4 linked regions of the Lepisosteus oculatus genome follow. The protein of the gene in region 3 purifies or fractionates together with the protein of the main gene of each other region. This does not show direct contact. Links are inferred from orthologs where the notes say so. Each region holds a gene or a part of one and is shown on either strand. Other genes may lie near its edges. The genes, in order: l3mbtl2, mgaa, chromobox protein homolog 3-like and coiled-coil domain-containing protein 71L.

What was found.
Region 1: the proteins of chromobox protein homolog 3-like (region 3) and l3mbtl2 purify together in Homo sapiens (affinity purification with mass spectrometry; 5 studies listed by BioGRID and IntAct, with this or other methods). This does not show direct contact. The link is inferred for Lepisosteus oculatus from reciprocal best matches to the Homo sapiens genes CBX3 and L3MBTL2.
Region 2: the proteins of chromobox protein homolog 3-like (region 3) and mgaa purify together in Homo sapiens (affinity purification with mass spectrometry; 4 studies listed by BioGRID and IntAct, with this or other methods). This does not show direct contact. The link is inferred for Lepisosteus oculatus from reciprocal best matches to the Homo sapiens genes CBX3 and MGA.
Region 4: the proteins of chromobox protein homolog 3-like (region 3) and coiled-coil domain-containing protein 71L purify together in Homo sapiens (affinity purification with mass spectrometry; 3 studies listed by BioGRID and IntAct, with this or other methods). This does not show direct contact. The link is inferred for Lepisosteus oculatus from reciprocal best matches to the Homo sapiens genes CBX3 and CCDC71L.

What each region holds. Positions count from the first base shown.
Region 1 is NC_090707.1:38,080,062-38,087,424, reverse strand, and holds the start of l3mbtl2 (lethal(3)malignant brain tumor-like protein 2), read right to left. Parts: upstream 3,001-7,363; 5' UTR 2,904-3,000; coding exon 2,791-2,903; intron 2,445-2,790; coding exon 2,301-2,444; intron 1,852-2,300; coding exon 1,658-1,851; intron 1,076-1,657; coding exon 969-1,075; intron 1-968. Other genes in the region: E3 ubiquitin-protein ligase RBX1, read left to right, coding at 3,066-3,143, 3,795-3,873, 4,316-4,386, 4,799-4,884, 5,674-5,686; st13 (hsc70-interacting protein), read right to left, coding at 7,350-7,363. UniProt on the Homo sapiens protein: Putative Polycomb group (PcG) protein. PcG proteins maintain the transcriptionally repressive state of genes, probably via a modification of chromatin, rendering it heritably changed in its expressibility.
Region 2 is NC_090703.1:12,651,895-12,659,634, reverse strand, and holds the start of mgaa (MAX dimerization protein MGA a), read right to left. Parts: upstream 3,011-7,740; 5' UTR 2,956-3,010; coding exon 2,841-2,955; intron 456-2,840; exon of another isoform or gene 301-455; intron 272-300; exon of another isoform or gene 207-271; intron 1-206. UniProt on the Homo sapiens protein: Functions as a dual-specificity transcription factor, regulating the expression of both MAX-network and T-box family target genes. Functions as a repressor or an activator.
Region 3 is NC_090705.1:811,730-819,633, forward strand, and holds the start of chromobox protein homolog 3-like, read right to left. Parts: upstream 3,010-7,904; 5' UTR 2,735-3,009; intron 1,127-2,734; 5' UTR 1,121-1,126; coding exon 984-1,120; intron 240-983; coding exon 74-239; intron 1-73. Other genes in the region: nfe2l3 (nuclear factor erythroid 2-related factor 3), read right to left, coding at 7,141-7,904.
Region 4 is NC_090702.1:39,616,340-39,624,048, reverse strand, and holds coiled-coil domain-containing protein 71L, read right to left. Parts: upstream 3,006-7,709; 5' UTR 2,900-3,005; coding exon 2,300-2,899; 3' UTR 411-2,299; downstream 1-410.

The sequences.
Region 1 (7,363 bases), on a different chromosome or scaffold from region 3:
ATAATAGTGGTAATAGTAGTCGTGTCAGTGGTAGTATAAGTAACATTAACAGTAGTATCAGTGGTAGTATCAGTGACAGCAGGGGCAGTGTCAGTGGTAGTATTAGTAGCAGTAACAGTAGTATCAGTGGTAGTATCAGTGACAGCAGGGGCAGTGTCAGTGGTAGTATTAGTAGCAGTAACAGTAGTATCAGTGGTAGTATCAGTGCCAGCAGGGGCAGTGTCAGTGGTAGTATTAGTAGCAGTAACAGTAGTATCAGTGGTAGTATCAGTGACAGCAGGGGCAGTGTCAGTGGTAGTATTAGTAGCAGTAACAGTAGTATCAGTGGTAGTATCAGTGACAGCAGGGGCAGTGTCAGTGGTAGTATTAGTAGCAGTAACAGTAGTATCAGTGGTAGTATCAGTGACAGCAGGGGCAGTGTCAGTGGTAGTATTAGTAGCAGTAACAGTAGTATCAGTGGTAGTATCAGTGACAGCAGGGGCAGTGTCAGTGGTAGTATTAGTAGCAGTAACAGTAGTATCAGTGGTAGTATCAGTGCCAGCAGGGGCAGTGTCAGTGGTAGTATTAGTAGCAGTAACAGTAGTATCAGTGGTAGTATCAGTGCCAGCAGGGGCAGTGTCAGTGGTAGTATTAGTAGCAGTAACAGTAGTATCAGTGGTAGTATCAGTGCCAGCAGGGGCAGTGTCAGTGGTAGTATTAGTAGCAGTAACAGTAGTATCAGTGGTAGTATCAGTGCCAGCAGGGGCAGTGTCAGTGGTAGTATTAGTAGCAGTAACAGTAGTATCAGTGACAGCAGGGGCAGTGTCAGTGGTAGTATCAGTGCCAGCAGGGGCAGTGTCAGTGGTAGTATTAGTAGCAGTAACAGTAGTATCAGTGGTAGTATTAGTGACAGCAGGGGCAGTGTCAGTGGAAGTATTAGTAGCAGTAACAGTAGTATCAGTGACAGTAACAGCAGCAGTATCACCTACCTGCAGCTCTGCGATGGGGTCCTGAGGGGAGCCCACATGCCTCTCCACACTCGCCTGCGACGCGGAGCCGTCTGCTGCAGCCGGCAGCCAGCTGGGCGGCGCTGGAGCTGCGGAGAACACAAGGCACAGCGGCTTCCATCGCATCCCGTGTGCTGACCGACACCCTGGGTTCAGGCCCAGTCTAACACGTCCCGAATGGATGAATAAACTGAGCAATAAACAGTCGGCATCTGTGATTCACCAGAACCGGCAAGTCACTAGCAGGAACACAGCCCACATGTTCTTACACGCTGTAAAAAAATTAATAACGAGAAGGCTCAATGCTCAAGCTTACATTACTGTAGCAAATTCCAATCAAACTGTTGCAATAAAAGCAAAAACACAGGCCTTAAGTTTAAAATTGTGGACAATTTATGGTAAAAGTTAAGGTGTGAAGCACAGTTAATTCCCCAAAACGGTTGGATTCGATCCTCTAATCGGGACGGGGGGGCTACTTTACGCAAAGGGCGGGAGTGGGGAACAAGCTTCCCTGCCATGGTTTTGATACCCTGGCTTTTGCCAAGAGGTGTCCGGTTATTTATGGCAGACAGATCTGTTAGTTACTGAAAAAGTAGAGCCATCAGTTACGGCCTCTTCTCCTCTGTGACTGTCCTCATGTCGCCCCCGATCTCCCCGGGCCCTGACCTCACCTCGGGAGGGAGGGGACAGATGCAGGACCCCTCCTGGGACTCCGGGCTCCTCTTCCCCGCCACCCTCTTCGCCAGTGGGACCCGGAGCGCCGCCTTCCGGGCCAAGAGGGGACGCCGGCTGGAACAGCAGAGGCTCGGGCTGCTTGGGCGCGTCCAGCGGCACCACAGGCCCTGCAGGCTCAGCACCGGGGGCCCTGCAGGCGGGAGAATGGAATCCTCTTCACTTTTATCCCACTAGTGATACGGCCAGCAGCTCCACCACCCTGCAGCTCCCAGCCGGCAGCCCCACTGGAGCCCAGCAGGGTGAGCCTGGCCAGTACCTGGAGGGGAGACTCCTGGGGTCAATTGAGGCTGCTGCTGGGAGAGGTGTGAGTGGGGCCAGCAGGGGGCGCTCACCCTGCGGTCTGTGTGGGTCCTGATGCCCCAGTATAGTGACGGGGACACTATACTGTAAAAAGGCACCGTCCTTTGGATGAGACATAAAACTGAGGTCCTGACTCTCTGTGGTCATTAAAAATCCCAGGGCGTCTCTCGACAAGAGCAGGAGTGTAACCCCAGTGTCCTGGCCAGATCCGGTGCCCCATGGTCCTGCCTGGCTCCCTGGGAGAACGCCACCCCCTCCTGCCTCTCGCAGGATGCTTACCGGTTCCTCCTCTTCTTCTGCGGCGTCCAGGCCCGCGGGCCGGTGGCCCGGGTCTTGAAGATGGACGGGCCCCTGTCCTTCTTCCCCTCCGCGAAGTGGCAGCTGCAGAGCCTGGAGAAGACGCTCGGGTCTTTGTCCTGCCGCCTGGAAGAAAAGACCGGCTGGTTGGCCTGACCCTCAGTTCAGGTGCCTCTAGAGGGCCTCTCTGTGTGTTTGTGGGGGGACAGGACAGGAACAGGACTTGTAAGGCAAAGAATCGCCATCCTATTGTTCCTGAACGACACATTTCACGTTTAGAGAAGCTCACAGAAACTACAACCAGACAACCTAAAGCCTTCTGTCAAAACAGGCAGGGGTTTGGTCTGTCACTCAATAGCTCGATACTCTGACGCAAAACAGGCTGCAGGTTTTTCAGAGGCATACTGGTGAAACGAAGACACCTGCCATATGTCACTTTTTAACTGTTTATCCCGCAAAACGGCGTGCCAACCTGCATCGCTCTTGCCAAACTCGGAACTGCCTCAGATCCTTGGGGAAACGGAAGAATTTGCAGGTTTCTCTTTCGCTGTGATGGTTGCAGTCGGGGGCAAAACACTGGACCATCGCAAACGCGTCCTTCTGCGGCGGGCCGGCAGGCTGCAGGTACAAAGTCAGGCTTCGTGTGGAACCGCAGGCCCTGTTGTTATGGGGACCGTGATGTCACAGCTCGCCGCCGGAAGCGACGGCCAGCGCAGGCGCTCAAGAGCCAGGGTTCCCAGAGACAAGATGGCGGCAGCGATGGATGTGGACGCCCCGAGCGGGACCAACAGCGGAGCCAGCAAGAAGCGTTTCGAAGTGAAAAAGGTACTTTGAGTAATTCGAGGAGGAAAAATTAAGGACGGAGGGACGGAGAGAGATTAAGTTGATGACTGTTGTTAATCGGTTGTAACATACAGGTGTTTGGGGAGTAATACTGGACGCTTTGCGGTGTTTTTGCGTGGTTAGCTAACGATGGCTAATGGGCTTACGGATTTATTTCCGTAGGCTTTTCTGAGGGCGCCAGCTTAAACTATTTTTGTCGGGCGCCTGCTTTTTGAGAATAACAAGTGTGTATTCGTGTTTCAGCCGGTTCAGTTCTCCTCGCTTTTTTTGAATGACGAAGCTGTTTCTTTTCTCAAGCGCCGACAAAGCTGGTCGGGAGGGAAAAAAGCAATACACTTTTCAGCACCTCGGACACGGTTTACAGCACCAGATGCCCCTTTTAATAAATAATAATTAATTAATGAATAATAACAACAACAACAACAACAACAGCGCCCAGTAGCGCCGCTCTGCCGGATTACTCGGCCCTCCCGATGTGAGGCCGGGCGAGACTCACGAATGTCGCAATAACAACATGCAGGCAGAGAACACGAGCGGGTGGACACATCTCGAGCGGGTGGCCGGTCAGGGTCAGCCAGGTTGGTGCATGCACTGTCAGTAAGTGAAGTGTTCTGTCTTTCCCCCCGCTGCTAGTGGAATGCAGTAGCGCTGTGGGCCTGGGATATCGTGGTGGACAACTGTGCCATCTGCAGGAACCACATCATGGACCTGTGTGAGTAAATGGGAGTTCTACTGTACTGACTGCAAAACACTGACAGCGCAGAGCTGTGTGAATGCAAGGACACAGTAAGAGTGCACAGACATGAATTATACTGTTCTGACACTGATGCACTGACAGCGCAGAGCTGTGTGACTGTACAGGCATGGTTAGAGTGTTGAGACTAATTATACTGACTCCAATACACTGACAGCCCAGAGCTGTGTGAATGCACTGTCACAGTATGAGTGTACAGACATGAATTATACTGTACTGATGCACTGACACAGTATGAGTGTACAGACATGAATTATACTGTACTGATGCACTGACACAGTATGAGTGTACAGACATGAGATCCAGACGCTGGTGTCTTACTCAGGTGCCAGTCCTAAGGTGCCTCTGAAGCTCACAGGGTAACACGCTGCTGTGTTTTTCTCTCTCTCTCTCTCTGCAGGTATTGAATGTCAGGCCAACCAGGCTTCTGCTACGTCTGAGGAGTGCACTGTGGCCTGGGGCGTCTGCAATGTAAGACTGAGCGCTCTCCCTCCCTCCCTCCCTCGACCTCCTCTGGGCCTCATCCGCACAGACGCCACCGCCACGCTGGGCTCTCCCAGACAGCCGGTTTTCGCCCTGTCTAGCCCCTCAGAGGGGCACACGGGTGGCACTGGCGCCGTGTGAACGAACAGAGTAGCCGCGAGGGGGGTTCCCCTACGGGCGTGGGGGCGAACCCGCAAACGCCCCGCCCCCCTCCTGTAATCCGTGCCGCTTGTCTGAACCCCCCTGTCTGGAAAGGGGGGTGTGGAGATGAGTGGAAACAGGAGCCAGAGCTGCCCCCGGTATCTGGAACCTGAGCCCCCCTCCCCCCCCCCCTGCTCGACCGACCTCTCGGAAAGACCCCCAAGCTGACCGCCCCTCCTCTCCCCTTGCTCTCCCGCAGCACGCCTTCCACTTCCACTGCATCTCGCGCTGGCTGAAGACGCGACAGGTCTGCCCCCTGGACAACCGGGAGTGGGAGTTCCAGAAGTGAGTAGCTCCCCTGGAGTGTCCTGCCAGGATAGACAGGATCCCCTGCCGGGCATCCCTGCCTGGATAGACAGATACTTTATTGATCCCGTGAGGGAAACTGCAGTGCAACAGCAGCTTAACACAGAAACAGTGTAACGAATGATACAATAATAATAATACAGTACAATCAGTACAGTGAGAAGGGCACCAAGAAGAGTTACTCACAGTCCAGAACACACAAAGAACAGAACAGGGCTCTCTCCTTCCTGCTCATACTAAAATAGTTTAAAATATGCTTTGGCACCAGGATGGAGTTTTTAGGCTGGGGGGGGGGGGTGTGTATATATAGAGGAGGTCTGTTTTGTGAATGAACGCCCTTCCTGGCTAGCCTGGGCGTGAAGAGCAACACTCGGGATGAATTGTGGAATGTTGATGAGCTGTTTGTCCAGTCACAGTGCTCCCAGAGACGGGACCGAGCTCGGTCTAACGGTTATTGATTATTCGAGGTAGCACGCTCTCCTGCGGCACTGCGATCGAACCAAGAGCTGATTAATATTCATTCGCGTCTCGCGAATCGCGTTCTGGTAAAGGCGAGCTGTACGCTTGCGGGGCGCGCAGTTTGTAGAGCAGGTGTGCAGTCCGTGTCTGCCAGGACGAGAGGTGTGTAGCGTGTGTGCACCTGTGTGCTGGAATCGGGATCGTCTGGTGTGCAATATCCTGTTCCCTCTGGCAGGGCGGGCGGGTGGGTGGGTGGGTGGTGCTGTTACCTGGTGTAATGATTGATTTGTGCTTTCCTTGCCCTTGCAGGTACGGACACTAGGGTGAAGGACAGTGGACTGGGCAGTGGCTACGCTACAGGTCGCTGGCGTACAGCCCCTCCCTCCTCCTCCTCTCCTCCCCTCTGCACGCGGGCACTGGCCCCGGGCCTGGCCCCAGCTGTTGTGTGGGGTGCACTCTCTCTCTCGACTGCGTCTCCCCATGAGCTGGCATGAAATAGTCTGAGTTTTTTTTTTAAAAAAAACACGTTCACGGTCCGTTTGTAAATTATAAATAAACCTCTGTGTTCAATGTAAGGAGGCTTCCTGTTGTCTGTTTTTTTTTTTTTGGATGGGTGGAGCAGTGGTTCCCGGTGCTGGTTCTGGTGACCCACACACCTGCCCGTTCTTCTTCCAGACCCAGTCAGAGGCTTTGTTGCCGTATCCTGAACTGTTTGTTCGCGGCTCATCAATGCGGTCAAGCTCTAACCGGCGTGTTTGTTTAACGTGAAATTAAACCCCAAACTTGTGACTACAACCACAATGCAAATATTCCAAAGAAGACGGGCTTTGATTGTCTAATTTGGGGGGGTGGAATGGAACCGAGCAGGTGTGGGGGTCACCAGGACCAGGATTGAGGGAGAGGGCAAAGTAGGAACAATGGGAGATGTAAAAGTGCGTTCTGTGATGCAGGAATGCTGTGATCGTGGGTGAAATCTAACTGAGAGTGCAACTAGTCTGCTGCACTTCCACTGCCCTGGAGCCAGGTGAACCTCTTTCTACACCAGTGGGGTTTAACCTGCTGTCCAATATATACATTGTGTGAGCTAAATAGGAAACAAAGATAGTGCTGTACCACTTTTCTTTTGCTTAAATGGATTTGCATATCGCCCCCCCCCCCCCCCCCATAGCTGTGTGTTCTGAGGCCGTGTGACTGATACTGTGGGGTGGAGCTTGGGTCATGTGACCAGTTGCCTCTGCCCCAGTCCTGGTCCTGGGGGGTCAGTCAGTGTGTCTGCAGCAGGGCTGTCTAGTCAGTTGTGTGAACTGAACACAGCCCCTGCCGTAGTATGGGCTGATGATTTAAAAGCTCCTGAAGATCAAGGTTACACAAAAAAACACTCCAAATGACTCCAGAAAAAACATTTTCATGTCTTTATTTTTTTTTAGATTTGATTTAATTCATTTAATTCCCAACACAAAAGCTAGATATTTAGTGCTCTTCTCCATTTCAGAGAGCTGTCCTTTGCTTTAACAATTAAAAAAAAAATCTTGAAGTAGAGAAGTAAATAGGAAAGCTGCAAGTTAAACCTTGGGTTTGCACACCTGGATACACCAACAAACATCGCCCACTAAGGGGGCAGTTAAATATTCCCTGGGGTGCCCTGGACAGTGCTAGTTGCCTCTGGATCTTATCTCCTGAGTGGGTGCTTCAGGTATTGGCAAAACCTGCCCTTAGTTGGACTTCTGCAGTTCTTGATAGCCCCCCCGTTTTAACATCCTCCCCTGAAGGAGAAGGGGGCAGGTGGGATGCTCCCAGCTCTTTGAGGTTCTGGATACAGACTTCATCAGGGCCTTGCGTAGAGAGAAAGGTGTCCTGGCAGGGCAGATCGCCCCCTCCACCCCAACAGCCACAGCTGCGCACAGTGTGCTTTCTGTCATTCACTAATCCTCACCTGCCCTGCCCCCCCCAACACCCACTTCCACCCTATACCCCCACCCCCAGCTTTAGGGCTGAGCCC
Region 2 (7,740 bases), on a different chromosome or scaffold from region 3:
CGAGCGCTCCCATGCCTGTCGAAGGACATGGTGAAGCGGGCCTCTGGCCGCCTCGACGATGCCAACCCCAAGCGCGTGGGCCTGGCGCGGTCTCCTTGGCACCACCATGACTGGCGGTCCCAGCGCGTGCAAAACCCGGCCACAGCCTCAATGGCGCGTGAATCCCTCCCCCCCTTCCAGCCAACGCGTTGGGAGCGCGAGCCCACCCTCGGGGATCTTCTCAACACCCAACTCGTGGCAACAGGCGCCGTCTCTTTCTCCGTGCAAACGCGCTCCACCGCGGCTCCGCTGAGCTGTTACCTTTCCCAGTCGTGCAAACATCACCCCGAAATCCGACCGTCGTTTGACTTGCTCATTGGCTCTTTCCGTTCTTTTTTTTCCCCCTTCTTACTCCGTACGTCTCACCCAGCTGGAGAAAACATGAGTGCTCTCAGTCACCTACGTCAGAGTCCTTGTGGTGGCACGCTCACGTTCTCGCCTAACGCGCAGGCTCTGCCCAGTACGGGACAGCAGGAGCCAGTCACGTGGGAATACAAAGCCTCTTTGCGCACGCACCGAGCTCGGCTAAAGCTTTTATTTTTTAAAATCGGGATCTGTGCGAGCACCGGCAGCAACGAAGGAAAAGCCCGCCTTTAAAAAACGCGAATGCACTTTAATCGAATGGGATTTAACGTCTTTATTGGTCGGCGTTCAAAAGAAATACTTTCACGTGGTGCCTGCCGTGTGAAACAAAATAGCAGCTAGTGAGAACCGATACAGCGGGGCACCGAGGCAGACAGAGCAGATGCAGAAAACGAAAACCAAGCACAGGTCAAACACTCGTTCATCCTAGAGAGAAGCCCACCAGCCGCGTAGTGGAGGTGCGAGCACGCATTTCAACAAAAACAGCGTTAACAAGCAAACACCCCTTTTCATACCGACACTTAAAAACGAAAGAGATCAAGAAAGATACATTCTAGCCAGCACATACGTGAGAAGAGATACTGTATAAGTAATATTGCCACTAGAAGCTCTTGGTCGCTATCTAGTGACACCAATCAACTAATTAGTTGTGGGTTTTTTTTAAATACAACATTTCGGGATAACTATTGCACAGTAATCTTACATTTGAAAAATCCCTAAAACTACCGGCTCCTGCGCAAGAGCTACTACACTATGTTTTGCCAGATTACTATGACAGAACTAACTAGCAGAAGCAACGTCCACGAGTGACAGCATTTGAGTACACAATCGAACCGCAGCGCAGGCGAGAGAGCTGTTAGTCTAAAATCGCTTGGAAACAACAACATAAGGAGTGCTCGCCCTTTAAACTGTAATTGCGTGAACTTTCTGTTATGGTCACCTTTGAGCTACAATGTCTAAGCTTACAGAGCAGCATTCTATTATTCTAAGAGAATAAAAGATTTATTTTACAGGTTTGCTTTAGGCCGTGTAGTATTCATATACAAGACCAGCCACAGCAGAAATAAATCTTGAATTTACTAAATAACCCAGAAATATAGTAATTGTCATTTGCTTTCCATTTAAAACAGTATCGAATTTATATATTTCAGTATTCCTCTAAACTATTGTTTTACATATACTTTATTCGATTTATATGTATATTTAGAAAGACATCTCTACATACAGTACAATGTTGTTTGCAATTGTGTGTTCTGCCTTTCGTGAAATATCAGCTATCTTTTTTCCTTCATTTTCCTGCGAGAACTAGGAGATGAATGTGCGGTTCAATTACATTAAACGCATAACATACATCAGATATGGGGTTTTGCTCCTACAGCGAGAAAAAAGAGAGAAGGAAAGTTCCAATTTCACTGCCAATAAGCATTCACACCCATTTCCCACACCTTTTGAGCATGGCAGATAACCAGAAGATGCTTATTAAATCTGAGCTTTTTATCCGGCCAACACGAACGTCTTTCAGTCCGCGTCCACGGCTAGATAAACCTATTTCTTTCGAAGGCTGCAGCCCATCCGACATTGAAAACGAGATGGGTCCTATTGGCTACTGCCTGGTCACATGCACCCCGAGCCACAGGCGAATACCGGCAGAAATGGAAATTGAACTGCGACATTATTAAGAGGGAAACTTTGGACTACGAATTCCTAAACTGACCCGACGATAAACAAGACCCCTGACAACTGCGGTCACCACGGTTTTACGCTCCACAATTGCTAGATCGCCAAGGGACATTCATCCATTTTTTTTTTGGGGGGGGGGATTGGCTCGAAACCGCCTGCACACGCTCAAGCTTTTTTTTGTCGTTGTTTCAAAACGTGTCGCTTAAACGCGTGATGTGCAGTGCCCCCATTGTAAGAACAGCACGCCTAACACAGATAAGTGTGAATCCGCGGCCACACGGGTTTCGAGCGAGCCTCATGACGACAAGGAAGCACGGCCTTCCCTTGGCTGCCGGCAGTCACGTGTCCCTCCGCAACAGCAGCAGTCCCAGGTACATTTGAGGGAATGGCGGGCGGTGATAGGGCGAAATAGAAACACGGATACTCAAAGCCCCGTTTTTTTTTAAAAAAAAAAGCGCTGGAAAAAAAAAAGGTGTCGAAGGCAGAGGCTCTTTTCGGTTTCAATACAAATCTCGAAGTGCGCTAAAAGCAGCCTCCGTGCTCAGGCGCTAGGTTTGGCGACCCGGGTCGTGCACCGCTCTCTCGCCGGAGTCGTGTGCCAGTGTCGTCAGGTGACCACCGGCAGCACCCTCCCTCCCCCTCCCGCGGGCTGCGCGCTTTTAAGTTAAAGGCAGCCGGCCGGCTTAAATCGACGCCGGCGAAACGCGTGTCTCGAACCAGCCGGAGCACGCTGTTAGAAGCAGAAGCGAGCGCTTTACCTCGAAAAACAAGACTTTGGCAAGCGGGCCAGTCCTCCCATGCACGGCTCTGCGAAGGCGCGGACCGGGTGAGAAACTCGAGGGGAGTGCAGGGCTCCGGTACTGCAGCGAGCATGCGCTGCTGCTAAGCGCTATTGATCCTCGGAGGTGAGAGGAGGCTGGCGGGGGTGCCGCTTGGAGGCAAGAGGCGGATTCGTCTCGAGTCGCGTTCGTCATGACCCTAATCGATGACTATAACGCGGGATTTCAGTGTATTCAGAGAAGATGAGACCCCGCAACATGTAGTACTGGGCCCTAATTCTACAATTCTACAAGATTTTAAGGCGTTATATCATAAAAAAAACACACCGAAGAAAGGGATGTTTGCAGAATTACTGAAACTGAGCCGAATTCTGGCAACTCTCGCAGAGTTACTGAACCTGTAATAACAAAGCACTATTGCCCCGAGAAAACAAGAGGCGGAATTTCACCCCGGTCTCCGGTGGCCGCAGTTGACAAACCCACGACGAGAGCCCAGCGTGTTCCCGGGGTCTCCGAGAGAACACTTCAGTTGTTCTTTTGTTTATATACAATTACGAAAAGCACAACGTGTTCCAGCCGTTTTCACCGTTAAGTGTTGTTCCGTGCTTGTGAGTGTTGGGGGTACGCCTCTGTCCGGTCCTGCTTTTGGGGGACACAGGGGAGGTTGGGACCGAGCCGGCCGTTTGCTGGTCCTGCCTCACGCTAGAGCCGGGCTGGTTTTCCGAACAGAGCCTGAGCCATCCTGGGCTTTGCCGCCCACCCGCGAACCTGCAAGCGCTACACGATTAAACTGTACTCGTTTCAAACAAAATATTTTTTCCATTTTTTTTAGAATGTCTACGCCATTTAAAATTACATTAAAGTTACATTCTGTTCACTTTTTAACTTTTCACTATGCCGCTTTTGACTGCGCTGAGTAGTCAGGTTTAACATATTTTAAAAAAGGTTGGGGCTGGACTGACGGTGTCCCAGCTCCCGGGACCTGGGATTGGTTGTGGACGTCTGCGTGGAGTTTGTCTTCTCTCCCCGTGGCCGCGTATGTGTCCCCCCCCATTTTCCTCCTGCTGTTTAACGTTAATAAGCGTCACTAGTTTATCCCCCGTCAAGAGTGTTTGTTGTCCTGAAGGGCAGATCTAAGAGAATCGGTGAGAGGACCGATCACGGTTCAAAATGGTGTCTGGCCTTTTTAAGTACTTACGTTTTAAGTAAGTTGCTCGCAGTTAAATACACAGAAGCCAAATAAACTAAAGGTAATAATGCAAAGGAACAAGTAATAGGTTTATTCCATGCTGAAAAAAAAGAAGAAAGAGAACACAACGTTTCGGCCGTGGAGCCTTCTTCAGGTGTGAGAAGGCTCCACGGCCGAAACGTTGTGTTCTCTTCTTTTTTTTCAGCATGGAATAAACCTATTACTTGTTCCTTTGCAGTCTACGCATGCTGACGCAGCTACCCACCTAAAGGTAATAATGTATTCGCTTTCAATTTCAGGAACAAAAAGTATCTTTTAAACTAGGATCACACCTTCCACCAGTTCTCACCGAGATAGTGTTTTCTTTTTAAACCCCTCCAGTAATTTACCCAGTTCAGGTTTTCACACCTCGGTCTTCGTCTCTCAGACTTTAGTTTGTCCAGAAGGTCCCCCTCCTCGCGCATCATATTCCTACTCTCTTCATCTTCCCCACCTCGTGTTAGAAAAAGGCTCCACACACCACACTTTGAGTTTTTCTACTTTTTTTAATATTTCGGCGTGGAATTAACATTTACACGTTACTAAATCGGATTATAAACCTGCGGTCAAAAAATAGCTGTACATTTTGGAGAGAAGACCTGCTAGAAAAAGCGACCGCGGATGATGGCGAAAGAAAAGTTACGAAAACTAGTGCTGAGAAAAACCCTAAATTATGTCTTTGTCACCAAGGCGCACCTCAGATCCCTTCAAACGTACGAACATTTCTGGGACTATATTTACCGTACCTCTCAAACAACCTGCTAGTTTATTTGCCAAGGCATAGTTTCACTGTCGCAAAGCAGATGATATTTGTTAGGTTTCAGACAGCAATCACCCCTCCACAAATTTAATCTTTAAACGTAACGAGAGAAATCAATTGAAGAAAAAAACACGACCCGGAAACTCGGCGTCGCGGTGGCCCGGGTTCAAGACCTGGGGTGCTGTCTGTGTGGAGTTTGCATGTTCTCCCCGTGCTGGCCTGGGTTTCCGCCGGGTGCTCCAGTTCCCCCCTTACAGCCCAAAGACATAGTGGTAGGTTCTGGCGTAAACTGGCCCTGGTGTGAGTGTGTGCGTGTCTGAGTGTGTGTCCTGCGATGGCTTGGCGTCCACGCCGGGGTGTACGCTTTGCCTGTTGGTAGACTCCGGCTCCCCCTGGCAGCGATTTGACCGAAGCGGCTAGATAATAGACGGATAGACCCGGAAATTCTCAACTCTCCCCCGACCCCCCTTCCGCCCTCTCGCCGCGGACGGCTGAGCCGCTTTCATTGCTCATTAGAAGGTACTTACACAGTATGTGGACTGAGCTGAGGAGAGGATGTTTTTTTAATGTAGCCTATTCTTTCACAATATGAAATGGTAGTGGAGTGTGATCTACATTACAGGATCAGATTAAACGAACGTAAATGAATAATTTATCGCCCCTATGAATAGTCCAACGGCATTTTCTCATACTCTCAATCAGGAAAATGTATAATCAGGAAAAAAGAAGCGTCAGTGTCCTTAAATACCTACAAACGTTGCTAGGATGAATGCGTTGTTCCGTTTAATTTTATTTCCACGTCTGCGTACACGGTGCAGTTTAAACCAGGTATTATTATAATTCTTTTTGAGGCAGCTTGAAATGAGCTCGCAAAGAAAGCTGGGCTCTCCTCTATCAAAATGTGATTTTGTTTGTTATCCGCTCGTACTGCACGTAAGATAACGAGAAAACGTCTTTCGTGTCATGAAAGAAAGCAGTCGCTGACTTCGTGCACGTTCCCTTAGGTTTGAAGGCTTAGTGTGAGCTGATAAGGCGATGCCTTTCTTAGAACACCAGTGTGTACAGATCTGTAGAGAATATTAATAAACTTTACTCGGCGTCTGAAAAAAACCCTCAACTTGTACCCAATGCGTGCCTGAAGACTTATATTAAGCCAAATAAAGCATTCAGAACCGACTGTCGCCGTCGGTATAGAGCTTCGTTCAGCGTCACTGATAGAAAACGAAAGCTTCTTTTGGTCACGTGATAGGGAGAACGTGTTTGAGCTTTCAACACGCGCAGGGAGAAATCTAAGGCAGAGAGCATTTCGTTTCTCTCATGAAATGTGACTTATGAACAACACAACACAAGGCAAATTTGTCCCACGCGATATTGCAGCAGGAGATGGCTCCGATCAACCTTTAACAGAGCTTCGGAATGGAGCGATTGGCATAATTAAAAGCGTCGAAGAGCCCACCCCCAGGGGTTAATTCTATTATCATTGTGGAAAGGAGACCTGGCTGATTCAGAATGTATCTTGACCCGACAGCCTGAAATTGAAAGAAGGCCGTCTAAGATCATATATGGTCATATCGGATAAAAAATGAAACTGTTACTGTAGTGAGACAACCAAGCCGATCTTCAACACACTTAAAGCGTTAAATAGCACAGGTAGAACCTCCTGAAGCAGACCTGTCAACAGGAAGTTTGGGGAGAGCTCCATCCTCCACTGAGACTGAAACATGTTAGGTTAGAGTGGGGGTGTGTGTTGTGAAGGAGTTCTCCTCAATGCTTTTAATGAGATGTGATGTTGTGAATCGCAGTTTCTGCTTCATACTATCAATTCAGTCTTCAGTACTAAGGGACTGTGTATAAAATATATCCATAGCCTCGGTTAAGGCTGTGGGACAAATAGGCCATAAAAGCAGGGCGTCTCGATAATAAAGCACTTGGTATCTTGCACCAGCCTATCCAATGACGAGCCGTACACACCGAATAAGCCGACTGTCTATGTCGCTTTTTACAAGTACACATAGCTGAAATACTCATCTCTGTCTTTAATTTAATACACAATACATTACGTTGGAATTCAGCCTACGAGAAATTTCACAAAAAACAATTACCTCTTGAAAAGACGTTTCATAAATATTGTTTGTGATGATGCATTTCTACACGATGAACAACACTCACTGGGTTTATATTGTAAGGCCAGTGGAAAAGAAAACCATGGATTTGCGATGCCAGCGTTTCAAAACGTTCTGCTGGCAAAATGATTTGTCAGGTGGGTTTGTGAAAGTAATTGGGACCATATCTAGTACACTTAACGCTAGATTGGCTAAAATACTGTTTGCTTAGGATTATGCTTAACAATGTTATAGTTAATGCACAACATTGCCTTTTTAATATACTTTCACTTAAAAAAGATTTAAAAAAATGGAATAAAATGATTTTGAATTAAGGAGAGTTTAGGGGAAGTCTGGAAAGCCTGCATGTACAAGAGTGGAAGTTAGCTGGAACACCAGGGTTAAAATCTCATCTCCTTTGGAACAAACAAGCTGGTAATACCTTGAAATATTTACTGGTTGGTATATTTGTACCGATTATTGTCTGTTGTGACTCTACAGGATGCACCGACAGACGAATAAACAGAACACCAGGGACCAATCAATCTTTTTCATGTGTTTTTTTAATATCTCAACTTTTACACATGTAACAGTTATTTAAGGAAGTATTAAAATCTTTAAGTAATGACAGCATATTTACACACAGTTGTGAAAACTGACAACAGAGCAAGAGTTATCAAAAAATCTCTTTAACAAAACATTACTTTTAATATCCCTTGATAACCCACATATGGAATGTACCCATAAGAGTCCTGGGGTAGCTGTGCCCCTTGATGTTTTTATGAGAAC
Region 3 (7,904 bases):
GTGCTTTCTTCACCGAGACTGGGACCTCCAGCAATTCACTCTTCAGCGCAGCAGGCCACGCGACAGCACTTACAGCCTCCTTTTTCTTCTTGGCTTTGCCTTCTTCCGACTCGCTCTCCGAGACGGATTTCCTCTTGTTGGACTCCGTGCGCTCCACGGTGGACTTCTGCGAGGCCAGGAAGGCTTCGATGAGCTCCGGGCAGTCCAGGTTCTCCTCTGGCTCCCATGTGTTATCAGCGCTACAAGAGGCAACAGTGACACTCACTCACTGTAGGAACACAGCTTCCAACTCAGAACTACAGCACTTTTACTTCACGACCGAGCCTGGCGCAAGTAACCGCAGTTTCCTAGTAAATCCACTCGCCGAGAACTCGGGTTTAGCATTTTAAACACACTGAAGAGCTCACTGGCTCAGCCGAACAGATCTCTTGAAACGCGGGCTTGACTGAATACCTGCACAGTTTTTTTTAATCATCAGAAATACAAATTCCATCACTCTTAGAATGTTTCAGTGTATTACACAATCTGGGGAAAAAAAACAGAACACCAAGTACAAAAAGTGAAGTGTTATTGCACTAAAAAAGGAACACGACAACAGTCGTGTCTCTAAACAGACCTGGGCAGTGAGCCCCAGGCTCCAGCGCCACTGTGTGGAGTCGGGTCAGAGGGAGAAGAGCATCAGCAGAGCTCTGGTGAAGAGCAGGATTACACATTCATGCTCAAAGACTTATGACTTTGGAACCTGACCCTTTGGAGATTGATATGTGAGGAGGAGAAACTTAAAATCCATTTCACAAGGGCTCGAGGTCAGAGTTCACGTGTTGAGCGCTTTTCCTTGGTACACAGGCTGAAGACTATTCACTCCCACATTGCCAGCTTTGGCAAGAGTGCTCAGAAGCCATATTTCCCCAGGAATTGCTGAAAAACCGTTAACCAGAACCCATGCAGCCAACCCCCACCCTCAGCACGAGACTCGCACTTACTCCGTGAAGCCCTTCCACTTGAGGTAGTATTCCACTTTGCCGTTCACCACGCGGCGATCGATCACCTTCTCCACCACGAACTCCTCGGGCTCCGCCTCCTCCGTCTTCTTGTTCTTCCCGTTCTGCTTCTTTCCCATGGTGCCCTGCGGAGCCGGGGGGGGAGAGGGGGTCAGTAACGAGAGCCGAGTTCGATGTGCCACTCCAACAACCCAAACTGCAACGTCCCGGGATGAGCAGCGGAACATCGAGAACGAGGGGAATGTCACGCAGGTGGAACAAACCGCAAGTCCTTCCAGCTGTGGAGCTGCACCGTACTCTCTCTCCACGCTGGACAGCAGCCCATACAGAAGTACTAAACCCTGACGCAGGGCCCTAACACAGCCTGCAGCTCACCAGTACCTGGAGGGGAGACCTCCTGGGAAAGCTGAGGTTGCTGCTGGAAGGTGTTAGTGGGGCCAGTAGGGGGCGCTCACCCTCCGGTCTCTGTTGGTCCTACTGCCCCAGTACAGTGATGGGGACACCATATTGTTATAAAGGCGCCGTCCTTAGGATGAGAAGTAAAACCTAGGTCCTGACTCTCTGTGGTCAGGAAAAATCCCAGGGCATTTCTGGAAAAGAGTAGGGGTGTAAACCTGATGTCCTGACGAAATTTCCCCAGGCTTCATCACTCTGCTCTCCTCCCCACTGAGGGCTAGTGTGTGGGGAGAGTACTGGTGTATCATCCAGGTGGGGCTGCACACTGGTGGTGTAGGGGATCCCCATTACCTGTAAAGCGCTTTGAGTGAAGGGTCCAGAAAAGCGCTATATAAGTCTAAGGAGTTATTATTATTAACAGCAAGAGACGTTGCCAGGGGTTATCGCACACCTGTGAGGTGCGGGCACTGTTCGCGAAACCCGTTAGGAAACAGGAGGACTGGTCCTCCCCGACACACCGCAGGACGGGCTACTTTCCCCAGCTGAACCCCCCGGAGCGACTGCCGCGCAAGAGCCACTCCGGCGTCGCCGCCTTTGTGCAGCTGCGCTGCAGCCCCGGGGCCGGCTTGACCCTTCCTCCGGACATTCACCTCAGGCCCCGACTCACCGGCGCCGAGAGTCATTTCATTAGGATATTACTTCCACCGACACCGTCCCGGTTTCCCTCCTTTTTAAACGGAGAAGAAACACGCTTTTTCCAAGATGGCCGGACAGCATAGCATGCCCACGGTCTCGGAGAGCCCCGGCCGAGCCGACTCACGCCGGACACCCGGGGAACAAAGGGTCGTCGGGACGTCCCAGCCTGGCCGGGTGCCGAGGCCTCCTCGTCTAAGACACCGAAGAGTATTAAAAACCCCACCAGACATGGACGGGGGATCCCCACAAGTTTAGGGGCTTCCCGGCATCCGCAGCACAGCGGCGCCGGCGTCTTCGGACACCCGGGACCGAGAAGAGCGGCGCCCCGCAGCGGGAACAGGGGTCTCCCACACGAGGGCTAGACCCGCCTGCAGCCCCCGGCCTGCAGCCCCCGGCCGCCCCGCTCTCCTGCCACAGGGGCTGCTCAGCGGGTATCGGCGTCTGAAGTGTTGTTGTGCACAAAATCCCCGAGAAGAGAAGTCGGATCACAGCGTTCCCCCCGGGCGGCCCTCCCGGGACAGCGGGGGGGGCGGCCGGTGAGGTCTCCGAGCCGCGGCTGCGGGTCAGCCCGGCTGCACAGAACTGCCCCCGGCCCCTCGCCCCACAGCCCCGCCGCCTGCCCGCGCCGAGCGGCCTCTTACCTGCGAGCTGTCCGCCTGGCGCCAAAACCCCCGACCTCTCACAACCCGGCCCGCAAACTGCTCCCCGTCCGGACCGCCGCTGACCAAGCGCCCTTGCACAGCACAAAACAGCACAGCCCTCACGCTCCGAGCACGCACTAGTCTGACCCGCTGCTTATTTTTATTCCTCTTTCTTCGGTTCAAACGCAAACACTATTCTCCAAGGAGCGCACGCCGCTTGCGTGACGAACTTCACAATGGTCCCGCAGCGTAAGAACCGCGCGCAGGGGAGCGTAAAGGTGAGAGTTCACAGGAGGTGACGTCACGGCTAGCGTCGGGTCTCGCAAGCGTTTGTGGGATACTGGTGGTATCAAGTAGAGTTCGCAAGAGGCGTGGCCATCAAATTATTTCACGTTTGCAGATTTTTTTTAAACAAGAGAAAAGGTAACAGTACATGCACTGCTGCTAATCCACACTATGCTTCTTTCACACCGTTCTTTGGTTTCCAGATGCTCTTTATTCAATAGGCACCTGATTGCTGTTAAGCCCGTTTCCAACTGTTGCACTGGGGCGGCAAACTTTCTGTAATAGTTAAAATTGTACTGGAATTTTGTCTTCATTGTTGATATCACTGAGGACACACAGGCCGTAAGATAAAATATATAAAACTTATCTTTGTTGTTTTCATTTATTAGAGAGTTTATTGCACACAAGGCAGAGCTGTCTCACAGCTCCAGAGTGTTAGAGCTTTCTGGCTCCTGTCTGCATGGTCTGCCTGCATTCCTGTGGGGTTTTACCAGTTTCTAGATCAGCTCTTCCAAAACATTGTGTAAATGTAACACTCCCACCTTCAGGAATGGTGAAAATAGTGTCAAGGGTTTAGCCTGACCTATATGCTGCTCCTGTGATTCATGCATCTATTAGGCATATATCAAACAGGTACTTCATCTGGACCTCCCTGTAATGAGAGTTGTTGACATTAGAAAGTTGTAGGCTGTAGCTGTGGACCTCATAGCTGGAGTCTGGGGATGCAGGCTGGACACAGGATCATTCTCAGCCGCGCCCATCCCAGGATCTTGGGAAACAGGCGGAGCGGAGTCCGAGGACAGGGCAGCCAACAGAGCGGACGTCATGGAAAACAAAGACGGAGAACAAGAGGAGTCTGGCAAGAAAATCAAATCTGGTGCATTCACCCAGAGCATGACCTGAGAATAAAGAGCTGTAAGGGCAGGAACTACAGCCAGATCTGTACCAGACGTAGTGAAGATGCCTCTGCTGTTTCCAGCTCTCAGAGCTGATCTGTACCAGACTGCCTGAAGACATTTCTGTGCCTCATGTTTCCTGCTTCTGAGGTATCGACACAAAAAAAGCCACGAGCCTTTTAATTATGTAAATAGAAAAACACTGCAGTGAAAAGGAAGTTTGAAATGACTGAAAGACTCAGGGTAAACAGTTGGTTTGTTTCAGTTTTTATTTTTCTGCAGTGCATCTACAGTATAGGCCACCAGATTCATTAAAAACACAACATCAAGTCAGAAAGCACCAGGTAAGTAGTATTTTTAATCCAAAGTCCATAAAAAAAGATAATTTAAATCAAATAGCATAAATTAAACAGAAAAAAAAACTATGCTAAGAAACAACAACAAAAATAAAAAAATATTGTTCATGGTGCAATTGAACCCAACTGGAACCCAAGCATTTCAGGAAGTGCTTCTCCTGCAGTTTGCATCCCCACACAGAGCGGAGCCAACAGAGCAGAGGGGCAGCATGTGGACTGACAGGGGTCACTGCCCACTCCCATCCCCACAGCTTGGCTGCCCTGGTGTCTCGCCTGCCAAAAGCTTATTCTCAGCCCTGCATCTGAAGCAGATTGGTTTCATTTCCTAGATGGTGTTGTAGGTCTAGGTGGTATAATGGCATTATCTCATCAGTTTTGTAGATCTGATCTTCAGTTATACAGACTATCCAGGGCCTGCAGCACAGAAGGACGACCTGTGTGATTATTATGCACAGCAAGGGCCTGGATACAGCCTTCAACATAAAACCTGAAAGGCCCGTGTCTTTGTGAAGTTGGGCACCAGGGTCAGCTGGCTGACCTGGGCTGGCACCGCGATGGCAGTGGAACAGCGAGAGAGGAAGGCGCCGCCCTGGGCGTGCTCACCTCACTGGGAAGCAGGCGAGGGCGGGCAGGAAGACACCTGAAAGGCTCCGAAATCAAACTAGAGCGGAAAAGAGGAGAACAGAAAAAAAAACTTATTTTCAAAACTCCATGACTGCAACTGGGCTCTGTACCTGCTGGGATTCTGTCACAGTGGCTCGTGGACCAGAGCAGAACCAGTGCCACCCGCTGCACAGCAGCCAGCTGCACGGCGCCAGAACACCGGGTCACCGCGGGACAGTCGACACCGTCCAGGGTTCAAGGGGGTGACATGAGCCCCGAGCCCTCTGCACGACACAAATACACTCGCAGGGAGGTCGGAACGCCTTCAGTATGCCATGTCTTTGTCATTTCTGATGCCATAAGAACAGCGGTAAAGATACAGTGCCAGGTACTTGCACCCGTTTCTCAGAAAACGTGTTCTCTCCAAGAATCAGCCTGGCATTTATCCCAGTTTGCAGTCACAGAAACCCTAGTGCAAATATTCCAGACAAGTAAACACTCATCAAAGCTGATCCATTATCAGTGCAGACCACCACTGTCTCGGCAAACCCGCAAGGAAAATAACTGGTTTTGTGCTTTTCATATTTCAGAAGAACATAAGAAAGGTTACAAACGAGGTCCGTCTGGCCCCTTTTGGTAAGTTTTTAACCTTTCTGTGTGATCCCATCTGATTCTTTACAAAGTACTGTATCGAAAGTCATAAAAGAAAAAATAACCATTTTCAAAACTGTAATACATAATACAAACATTGTAAAATATAGTGCATATAGAAAATGCAGCTGTTTGATCCACAAAGCGCTCTTTGAAAGAAGCCTCCCAGAACATTAAGGCCACTTAAAAAAAAGTTTGAACTGTTTTTAACGGTGTTCAGTTACTCTCCACTCCCACGAGCTGAAGTTTACATTAATCAAGCATTAATCAGCTCAGTGAAGGCATTTGTTGGAAGTTTGTAATGTCTAATGTTGTATAATCGCACTTGGAATTTACAGACTTTCAGTAAATTGAATAACCCCGAGTAACAGAAAAGAATCAAAAGCCGACGAGTCAAGTCAAGCTATTAACTAAACCAGTAAGGCATGTCAGAACCGTGAGGTCACAGAGGTCTGAGTGACGATCTGCTGTGGTACCCCCCCGTTCGCCTGGAGACACATGGCCAACGCTCACCTGCAGACTAGCTGCAGTACAGGTGGAGATCTTGCCGAACACAGGGAGCACAGTGGTCACCCTGCCTGTACTGCCTGATCGTACACCCGGGAAAACTGCCGATTTCAAATCCAGTTCATTTCGAAGGCATCCAATGATTTCAGTCTGATGACTGAAACGGAGGATGAGGATCTCTGCAACACCCCCACAGTGCAGTCAGTGCAAACTCCTTACTCGCTTGTGTCCGAGGGAGAGAGCAGACTCAACCTCGTGCAAAATGGAGGAAATATTCCTGTGAGCAAGGACAGGGAAACATGTTCCATCAAACAACCGCTCTCAAAGACTGTGATGTGTTCTACACACATAGAAATGTCAACCTGAAATTATGTGCTGAAGCCATTAGCCCATTTGAGTATTAAAATGCTACATGACACGCATGTCTGCAGCCAGTACTGTCTTTGAGTTCCTGATGAGGAGTAAAGGGGAGTAGTGAGAATGTAGTACAGTAGGCAGCTGGATCAGCATGCGCAGTCTGCAAAGGAACAGGTGACAGGTTAATTCCATACAGAAAGCAAAAGAGAATGTTTCAGCCTCTTCAGGTGTGCCTCTTTTAACTTCCAGTAGTGAAAAAGAGCCCTGCTGGAAAACGGTGTCAATGAATAATGCCGCAGGGTGAGACGGTCAGCTGCCGGCCTGAACTAGTGGGAAATCACTGGTGTGGCCTGTGCCGCAGGTGAGCGGCACGTGTACTCTGCGCTCCCAGACTGTTAAACACGTGCGGGAACCTGTGGGGCAAATGAGCTGCACTGTGGGAGGATTGGAAACCAGTGACTTTCCCAGGTCAGCCGGGCGTCTGCCTCCACGCGCCGCTACTCACTAAAGCGGCAAACCAAGGGTCTGCATTTGGACACTGTCCTCAGACCGGTGGACTCGTCCACTGTACATTTCTACCGTGTTTCCAGTGTTAAAGCTACATTTATTATTCCCCTCTCAACTTAAAAAGCCCCGGTTTCACTTCTCCAGAAGAGCAAGAGCGTCTCGGCCTTCTTCAAAGCGCCCCCCGCCTCTGGGCCGGCCCCTCTGACCGCGAGGGGGATCGCTGACCGGTCCGGGCGCCGCGCGGTCAGTGCTGCTTGTCCTTCCTGGCCCGGTCGGGCCTGCGCCGCTGCGCGCCGGGCCGGTGGGGCACCAGCAGCACGCTGCCGTCGCTGTGGCACTGCAGGGCGTAGCGGCCGGGGCTGACGGGCCTGCCCTGCTCGTCCCGCAGGCGGCGGAACACGTCCCGGTACAGCTGGCCCAGCCGCTGCTTCAGGCAGCCCAGCGACTTGCTGTGCTGGGCCCGGTCGCGCAGCAGCCGGTCCCGGTGCCGCCGGAGCCGCTCCACCTCGCCCTCCAGCCCGGCGATGGCGTCCAGCTTGCGGCGCCGGCAGTTCTGCGCCGCCACCTTGTTCTTGCCCCGGCGCCGGATGTCCCGAATCAGCGCCACCTGGGCGTCGCTCAGCTGGAAGCCGGACAGCAGCTCCAGGAACTCCTCCACGGGCATGTTCACGATGTCCTGCACGGACAGCGGGAGGTCCAGCGCCCGGGCCCTCCTCTCGTCCCGGCTCAGCTCGTCCTCCTCGCCGCCTTCCTTCTTGACCGCCCCGAGGGGCCCGCGCCCCGCCTGCTGCCCCCGCGGGCCGGACCCGCGCTGGGGCGGCGGAGAAGAGTACGTGTGGTCGTGCAGGACGCCCTGGGCCAGCTGCGCAGGTGAGCGCCCCGTCCCCTGGGGGCGACGCTCTTTGAGGCTCCAGGAGGCCCCCGCGGCAGCGTCCCCGGACAGCGAGTCGGAGTCGGTGCTGTAGCCCACGGCCCCCTCGTCCTCGCAGTGGGACAGCGAGGACGCCT
Region 4 (7,709 bases), on a different chromosome or scaffold from region 3:
CGAACGCGTCTTTGTTTTAGCTCGACATCACAATGCAGCCGCTACCAACTATCTTTTTGCTCTCCTTTCCAAGATGGCGTTCAAATTTATTATACCCCCAAATACGCAACTGCTCCTGCGATCTTCGTTTTAATGGAGCATGTCGGAATGAACTGAACAATATTGCCATCTGCTGTTTAACTGTCCCCAGCAACGTGTACTCTCCCGTTGCCAGCTTCTGAAAAGTCCGCCTCATTATGGCTTGAAAACAATACATCATTAGCCACGGGGAAAGCAAGTTCTTTTTACATATTGCTGTTGAATTTGGCAAAAGTATGGATTTTGAAGCCAAAACCGGAAGCTGTTGGTAAAACAATCAAAACCAATATATATACACACACAGGAGGAAAACGGAAAGGACAACACATTCGTACAATTTACAGAATAGTTTATTTCAAAGATAAGATTCCAGTTCAGACCACGTACAAAAAAAATATCCAAAGCATATCAAATAATATAAAAAGAACGAAGAGATCAAAGCATAAATAAGACATTTTCAGAAAGCCCTTTTAACATTGCATACGAGAAGTTGCAGAACCCTGTTGTACCACCACCGCTAAAATGTTAATCGTTTCCAAACAGTCCATCGTGTCCATGGAATCAAGGCCAGCCCTGTGTATCTTCGTCAGCCTCCCCAAACATTGCTAAGCATCTGCTCACTTCTGTGCTGCGTGTTCAGTTGCTGTATCTATAATAGATACAGTTAAACACCCATCTGTACTTTTTGTAGGATTTTCTTGCATTAAAAATACAGAGTGCAGTCGTTTCCGTCAAAATGGCAAATTATATATACATTCTTTACATCCAGTAAGGTTTTCAAACCACCAAGCAGACAATGGAAAACTGGATTTTTTTTTTTTAGCTTGGCCTTAGCTGAGCCTTGCCCAGATATCCACTCTCAGAAACCATTGTTATTCCTGGGAAGGGTCACAGCAACCCACAGCCATTAGCGGAAGCACAGGCGTGAAGTGGGTCTACGCCTCGGGTGGGATGCCAGACCATTACCCGGCCCAAATGGACTATTTAGAGACAAAAATTCTAAGACAGCCAGCACATCTTTGGAAGGTGGGAGATGAATGAAGACCGACAGGAACTTCGTGGAGTTATTTAAACATACGGGGTTATAAAAAAAATGAGTGCTGTGACATCAATGCCAGGATTTCAATAAAAAAACCTGCTCACCTTCCCCTTCATTTACACCATTATTTGCATTATGGCTACATTCCGAAATAAAGGGGAAACGCAATCATGTGTCCAATTTGGCAGCTGCAGGATGTGGTTCCATAAGTTATTCAAATCAAAATAAATATCAACGATTCCACAAAGTTGCACTATACCTGCTACATTACTCGAGATCTCATTTCCCCCCCAAAAAAACTTGTACTTTAAACTTGACAAATGCTTTAAATAAAACGACACAAAATTCTAAAGAGTGTTTACAGAGACATATAGAACAATAAATAAGACACTATATCACTTGAGGAAAAAAACTACCATTTATGAAAGAACTCAGTCTTGTTGGCTGCAACAACTAAACTAGGTTAAAAGTGTGCACTTCGACTGAAACCTATCACAGTTTAGACGTGCGAATACATCAAACGCCATACTGACATGCTGTGCCGACATGGTGACAATATATCTGTCCATCCACGCCTCTTAGTGACTTCTGTAATTTTGTTCCGGCGACAGTGACGTAGAGGGTGACGCGGAGTTGATTGCGTTCGCACACTACTCGACCCCTGAATAAAGATAACGCAGCCGAAGTTCAGAACAAAAAGTTCTTGCCCTCGGTTGCCTTCCACTCCTACACGTATAGTTTAGATTTGAACCCATCGGGGTTCACACTGCTGGTTCGTGGACAGAGTTCCAAGATATAGTAGAAAGTATGTCACTCAAAAATTGTTTTGTACATCAGTAAAAACCATGTAGAAATGGACAAACTGTCTCGTGAGCTGGTGACTTCAAAAACGTAGCTGGTAATTACCATTTTGGCATAAGAATTAAAATACAAGTTAAATTCAGACTTAACTATTTAAGCCTTTCCAGAAGTTAAGAAAAACGTCCTTTCACACATGAGGGAAAAAAGCGTTTTTTTACAAGTTTGCAGCATTAGGAATTCACTTTTTTGTGCTTTCCATTGCTTCTTATTTTCCCAGGGAATTACATAAGGTAATACAATATTAAGGTAAAGTTTCAGGAAGAATTCCGTTTAAAGTGCAGTTTTGTCGTAATAGCAGCCATTCCGGTTTCAGAATTCATGTTACATCGGCATAACCAAGCGCCTGAGCCTGAGGACGGGAGTGAGATTCACATTCATCAGTTTCTCAGCTTTGCGTCTCGCCGCAGGTATGTCATCTCCCGAAGAGAGCTCTTCCAGCGTCACCGACCGGACAGAAATCAACTGAGGAGTTGCTGCCCTCCAGATTTCCTCCAGATCTTTCATCTGACAGGGGTGCACGCCAGCTGTGCCCTGCGAGTTTCGTGTCCGCGACCCAGACCCGGTCTTCTTCCTATTTTTGCTCGATGTCCATGGTTTTCTGCCCCGCTTCCTCTTCACGCGTCGTCCTACAGCCTTGGGCTTCTTGGAAACAACTTTCGAAGTACTTTCGCCTTCACCCTTCCTCTTATCCGGCACGACCGATCGGCAGGATGAATACCCGTACACATCCTTACTCCTCAGAATAACAGGAGAAAAGCCTTCGTGCCTCAAGCTGCAAAGAAAATCCCATATTTCGTCCTCGGAATTAGCTATAAAGTCTTTGATGGGAGGAATGAAAAGTTTAAAGGCTTCTTCCAGCGCCCCAGTCTCTCCAAGGAGTGAATTTCTAGATCTTGAGAACACAACTTTTTCCTCCTCCATTTGATTTTTTTGGCTTGGTTCCTGACCCTCTTCGGTGACGCACTACCACCAGCTGCCGCTAGAGCCGAAGTTTCGCGATATACATCCACTCTTCTGGAAAGGAACAAAATGGCTGAGACAGCTGCGGACGTGACGACTTTATAAAGCAATTTTCAATTACATCATCACAGAAACCCCTCCCTCTCGAAATTCAAACTTGTATCCCAGGATTCCCTGCCTCCATGATTTTGTTTCCGTTGTAAAGGTTGTTTATAAAATCGAGGACGCTAGAATCTGTAGTGTAACTCAAAACTACATTAATCCTCACACAAGTGTTTAGTTGAAATATGATTTTGAAGCAACTGCACCATCTTTTTCTGAATGAAGAAAAAAAAAGGCAATTTGCAAAATCCCCCCCCCCACCTGACAAAATCAAGTATTACCAAGTATTATTGACAATGTCTACTAAAACAACCTATTTTTGAAATTGTCATAGAAGACATAATCTAAGGACCAAATCTGAGAATGCACCCTATTCCCGTTCAGAGAGATGTTTTATGTAAAATAAACTCTCCTGAATACTAACTGTTTAACTGTAAAGCAACAATAGCAGTTCAGATCACAAAATGTATTGTATTTTTGCTATTTAATACTTAATTAGTTAAAGTAATTCTAAGCATGAAAAAATACAACCACGTAAGAGTTTTTGCAAGAAACAAATCTTGTTTCGTCAGTTTTACAAGTCTCCCTGGTGGTCTTTAGTTGAGATGTATTAACATTTTTCTTAAATTCAAATTACTTTGTTACATTCTTTCTCAACATTACAATAGCGCCAAAAAACACAATTTTATCAGATACAGAGTATTGCTTTTTTAGCAGGTTTCATAATGTGGGGAAACCTTTTAAAAATATATGCAGACAGATGATTTATGGGAATTAATGTTAATTACTTCTATCTGTGGCCCAAAGTGAGGAAATGGAACTGTCTAAACAGATTCTTATTATACATTTGTGCATATAAAGTCAGTGTTAAAAGCCAAAGACAGATGCTTTGCTTTTTTAACTTACTGTGGCCAATAAAACACACATATCTCTTACAAGAAACAACTACTAGGATTATGGAGTTTCCTTGAGAGCAACCTTTCCATATAAACACACACACAGTTCTAACTGAAAAAATTCACACTATTATTCTTCAAGTTATTTTATAAACGGAACCTGTATATTAGTGATATCTTTTCAGAGTTTATTAGTCATTCACCCTACAGAGAAATATATATATATTCCAGTGTAGAATATCAAAAACCAAGTAATGAAACTTAAAGCATGCTTAATCATATCAAGTAAGGTCAATTAATCGAGATTTAAGTAGATTTTGTTGTGAAGATAGTAAAGATTAACATTGGCAGTTGTGTAGTATGAGTGTCAGGAATGTGAAGCATTGGAAAACTAAAATCAGAGTAAGTGAAAATGGGCACAGAGCAGATAAGAAAGAGCATCCAAAGACAAATTTAGGAGGGATTTGTGAAAACCTGAAACCTGTAAATGAAAGAAATTAGTTTGTTATTGAGATAAGAGAGAAATTGTGAGCCAAGTATAACGATTATCTTGGCTACTGATGTCTTTCTGGTGAGTTCCTTTCTGGAGTTACAAAATGTTTATTATGAAAGATTAATGTTGCCACACGTGTCCCGTTACAAAATGTTTATTTTATGTTTATTAATGTTGCCACACATTTTCAGTTGCAAAATGTTTATTTTATGACTGGATATGTGTGGCAACATTAATCTTTATATTGTAAACTAGACTTTCAGACCAAATTCATTCATGCTACATCTTTATGAAACATGGGACTTCAAGTTGGCAAAAATAGCTTTTGCTGCAAATTACCTAGTTCCTGCTATTGGAAAATATCACAGCATTATTGTGCTTACCTAAAACTGAAGAAAGGAAAATTCATTCTTTAATACACGAGGATCTCTTCATGGTGCTGTGTTCTCAATAATATATTGAGCCTCAAATTTACAAAGGGATGAAAATCAATATGAGGAAATAATACATTTGAAACACAGTACGCATCCTGAGGAATATCCAGCATATTGGCAGAAAACACAATTAGGGAAAAAAAACTGGGGAAAGCATCACATTTCAGGAAAGAGGTTCATGATCAGAACTAGCAAACTGAAAGAATCAGGTTGCCGAAGATGCCTTACTTACACAATTAGAAAACAATCAGAAAAAGAACCACCGGATGAACAAAAATCAAACCTGAAACTAAATGAATATAACTTTTGTTTCCTGCAGCTACTATCTTTAGGTCTGCTTTGAATCAAGCAGTCCTGTAGTAAATCCCATTGATTGCGCTATCACATTGGAAATTGACAATGGACAGGTTTTCAAAGAATTAAAGTCCTGTATACAATGCAAGAAGAGATGAATAAATACACAGCACAGTTTGAAAGAGCAAATAATGCCCATTCATTGGGATATTTTATCTGCAGGACAGAATCTGTGTTACATGGTGTTCAAAAGAAACAAAGTAAATTCTAGACCATGTTAGTTTGTCAATGGTAATACACAATTAAACAAGTAGCAGCAGTTCCCTTATAATTTTGTGAAATAAATTAGGACACAACCACATCCATAGTAAAATTGAAAGAAAGCTCAGCTCTACTTAACGTCTACTTAGTCTTAGATCAATTTACAAAGGGCAGCATAGTAATCTTATCATGCAAGCAATGAACGACATTTACAAAAACTGCAGCAGGTAACATCTCTGTAAATAGATGCACGAACACAACTCTTGCAACACCAATTGGGATCCATCAAAAGGAGTCCAAGGAGCCTAATATACAGTAGATCCAGGTTTAATTGGTGCTCATTTTCATGGCGTTAAACAACTTAAATTACTAATCTATATAAGATCAAACCTTCCTTTGCACCAGGAAAAAAATACTCCAGATCTTTTAAAAAAAGACTGGTCTGATCCCATCCTTAGGAAAGACCTAGATTTTGATTGGATGTTGTAAAGAAAAATGTTGCACTTCAATCCAGATGAGACAGTAGTGGGTGATCTGCCTTCTGCTCTGCAATCACACCTACTAGAAAGATCAGTAAATGATTACTGCCTGCCTCACCAACAGAGTACAATACAATGAATAACTTTATGTACAGATGATGGCATACAGTATGAGCAACATACAAGTTCTAGGGTCGTCCACGAAAGTTCCAGGGTAAAAGAGCAAAGTCCTGAAGCCAGGTGAGGTGTTTCACTGCTCAAGAAAAACATGGGACCATTACCGCCTAGTGCCACTCAATTCAGTGGTCATGAAGTGCCTGTAAAGTCTTGTGTTGTCTAATACAAATTGCGGACTCCCTTGACACACTTCAGTTTGCTTAGTGTTCAAACAGGTCAGCTGATGATGCCATTTCTCTAGCACTACATAATACCCTCGAACATTTAGACAGGTGGGGAACCTAAGTTAGGATACTGTTTATATATTGCAGCTCGGCTATTAACACAGTTGTTCACACCACAATGATCCCATAACTCAGGAATATGAGCTTATGCACCCCTATCTGCAACTGGATAATGGATTTCCTGACGGGCAGACCTCAGATGATGAAAACTGGCAACAATATCTCCTCCACAGTGATCCTATACGCTGGAGCTCCCCAAGGCTGCTGTCTCAGTCTTAGGATATATTCCCTTTTCACCAGCAGTAACCATATTATCAAATTCGCTGATGACACCACAGTTATTGAGCTGATCGGTAACAATGATGAGTCAGCTCATAAGAGTGAGGTGGATCATCTTACAAGATGTTGCCCTGACGTTCAGGGTCAAATTGTTGTCAACAAGACAAAAAAACTAAAGAACTCATTGTAGACTTCAGGAGACCCAGGGAGAGTCACACCCCAGTCAGCATTGAGTGCACAACAGTGGAGACTTGGATTGCAGATCTTGGCCAGCATGGCTTGGTCTCAGAACACAAAGCCCAGCCTGAAAAAGGCACAACAGGTCCTTCAGGTTCTGCGGTGCCTAAAAAATTGCGGTATGGGGAAACAGCTACTCGTGAACTTTTACCGCAACACCATAGAAAGTGTCTTCACTAGTGGCGTCACTGTATGTTGACTACCTACCTACTATGACTACCATACACGACAAAGCATTGTGGCAACGGCACAGACGATTACAGGATGTGATTTGCCATCACTCGGTGAGATTCACATAATCCACTGTCGCGGTAAAGCCCAATTCATTATTCAGGATCTCAACCATCTTGGCCACAAACTGTTCTCCTCCCTGCTCTCTGGCAAGTGTTACCACTTTCTACCATGTATTTAGCATTCTTTTTGAATGGATTGTCTGTACACACTGCCATTATTTATTATTTACTGTTTGGTAATGTACTGTTCACAATGTATGGTGTTATCTGTTGTACAGTGTTGTCTGCTGTACTGTGCATGTCCTGAGAGAACGTCGTGAGTACGAATCCCATTGTACATATATATATGGCAAATAAACTCCTCTGTTTATTACTATCCATAAATTACGCTTAGCCACCAACAGGTAGTAGTGCTTCCATTTATGGGTCAGATATAATAATAATAAATAATAAACTTTATTTTATATAGCACCTTTAAAGGTGGCTTCTCAAAGTGCTTTACAGAATGACAACAACAATAAAAAGAATACACAAGATAAAACATAATTACAATATATAGAGGAGACCGTGGATGGTGGTACTAAGAAAAGAAAAGGGGTGATGTCAATCCTTAATATTTAGCTAGATATATTTTTCTAGAATGCCACATGCGAGACATCCCA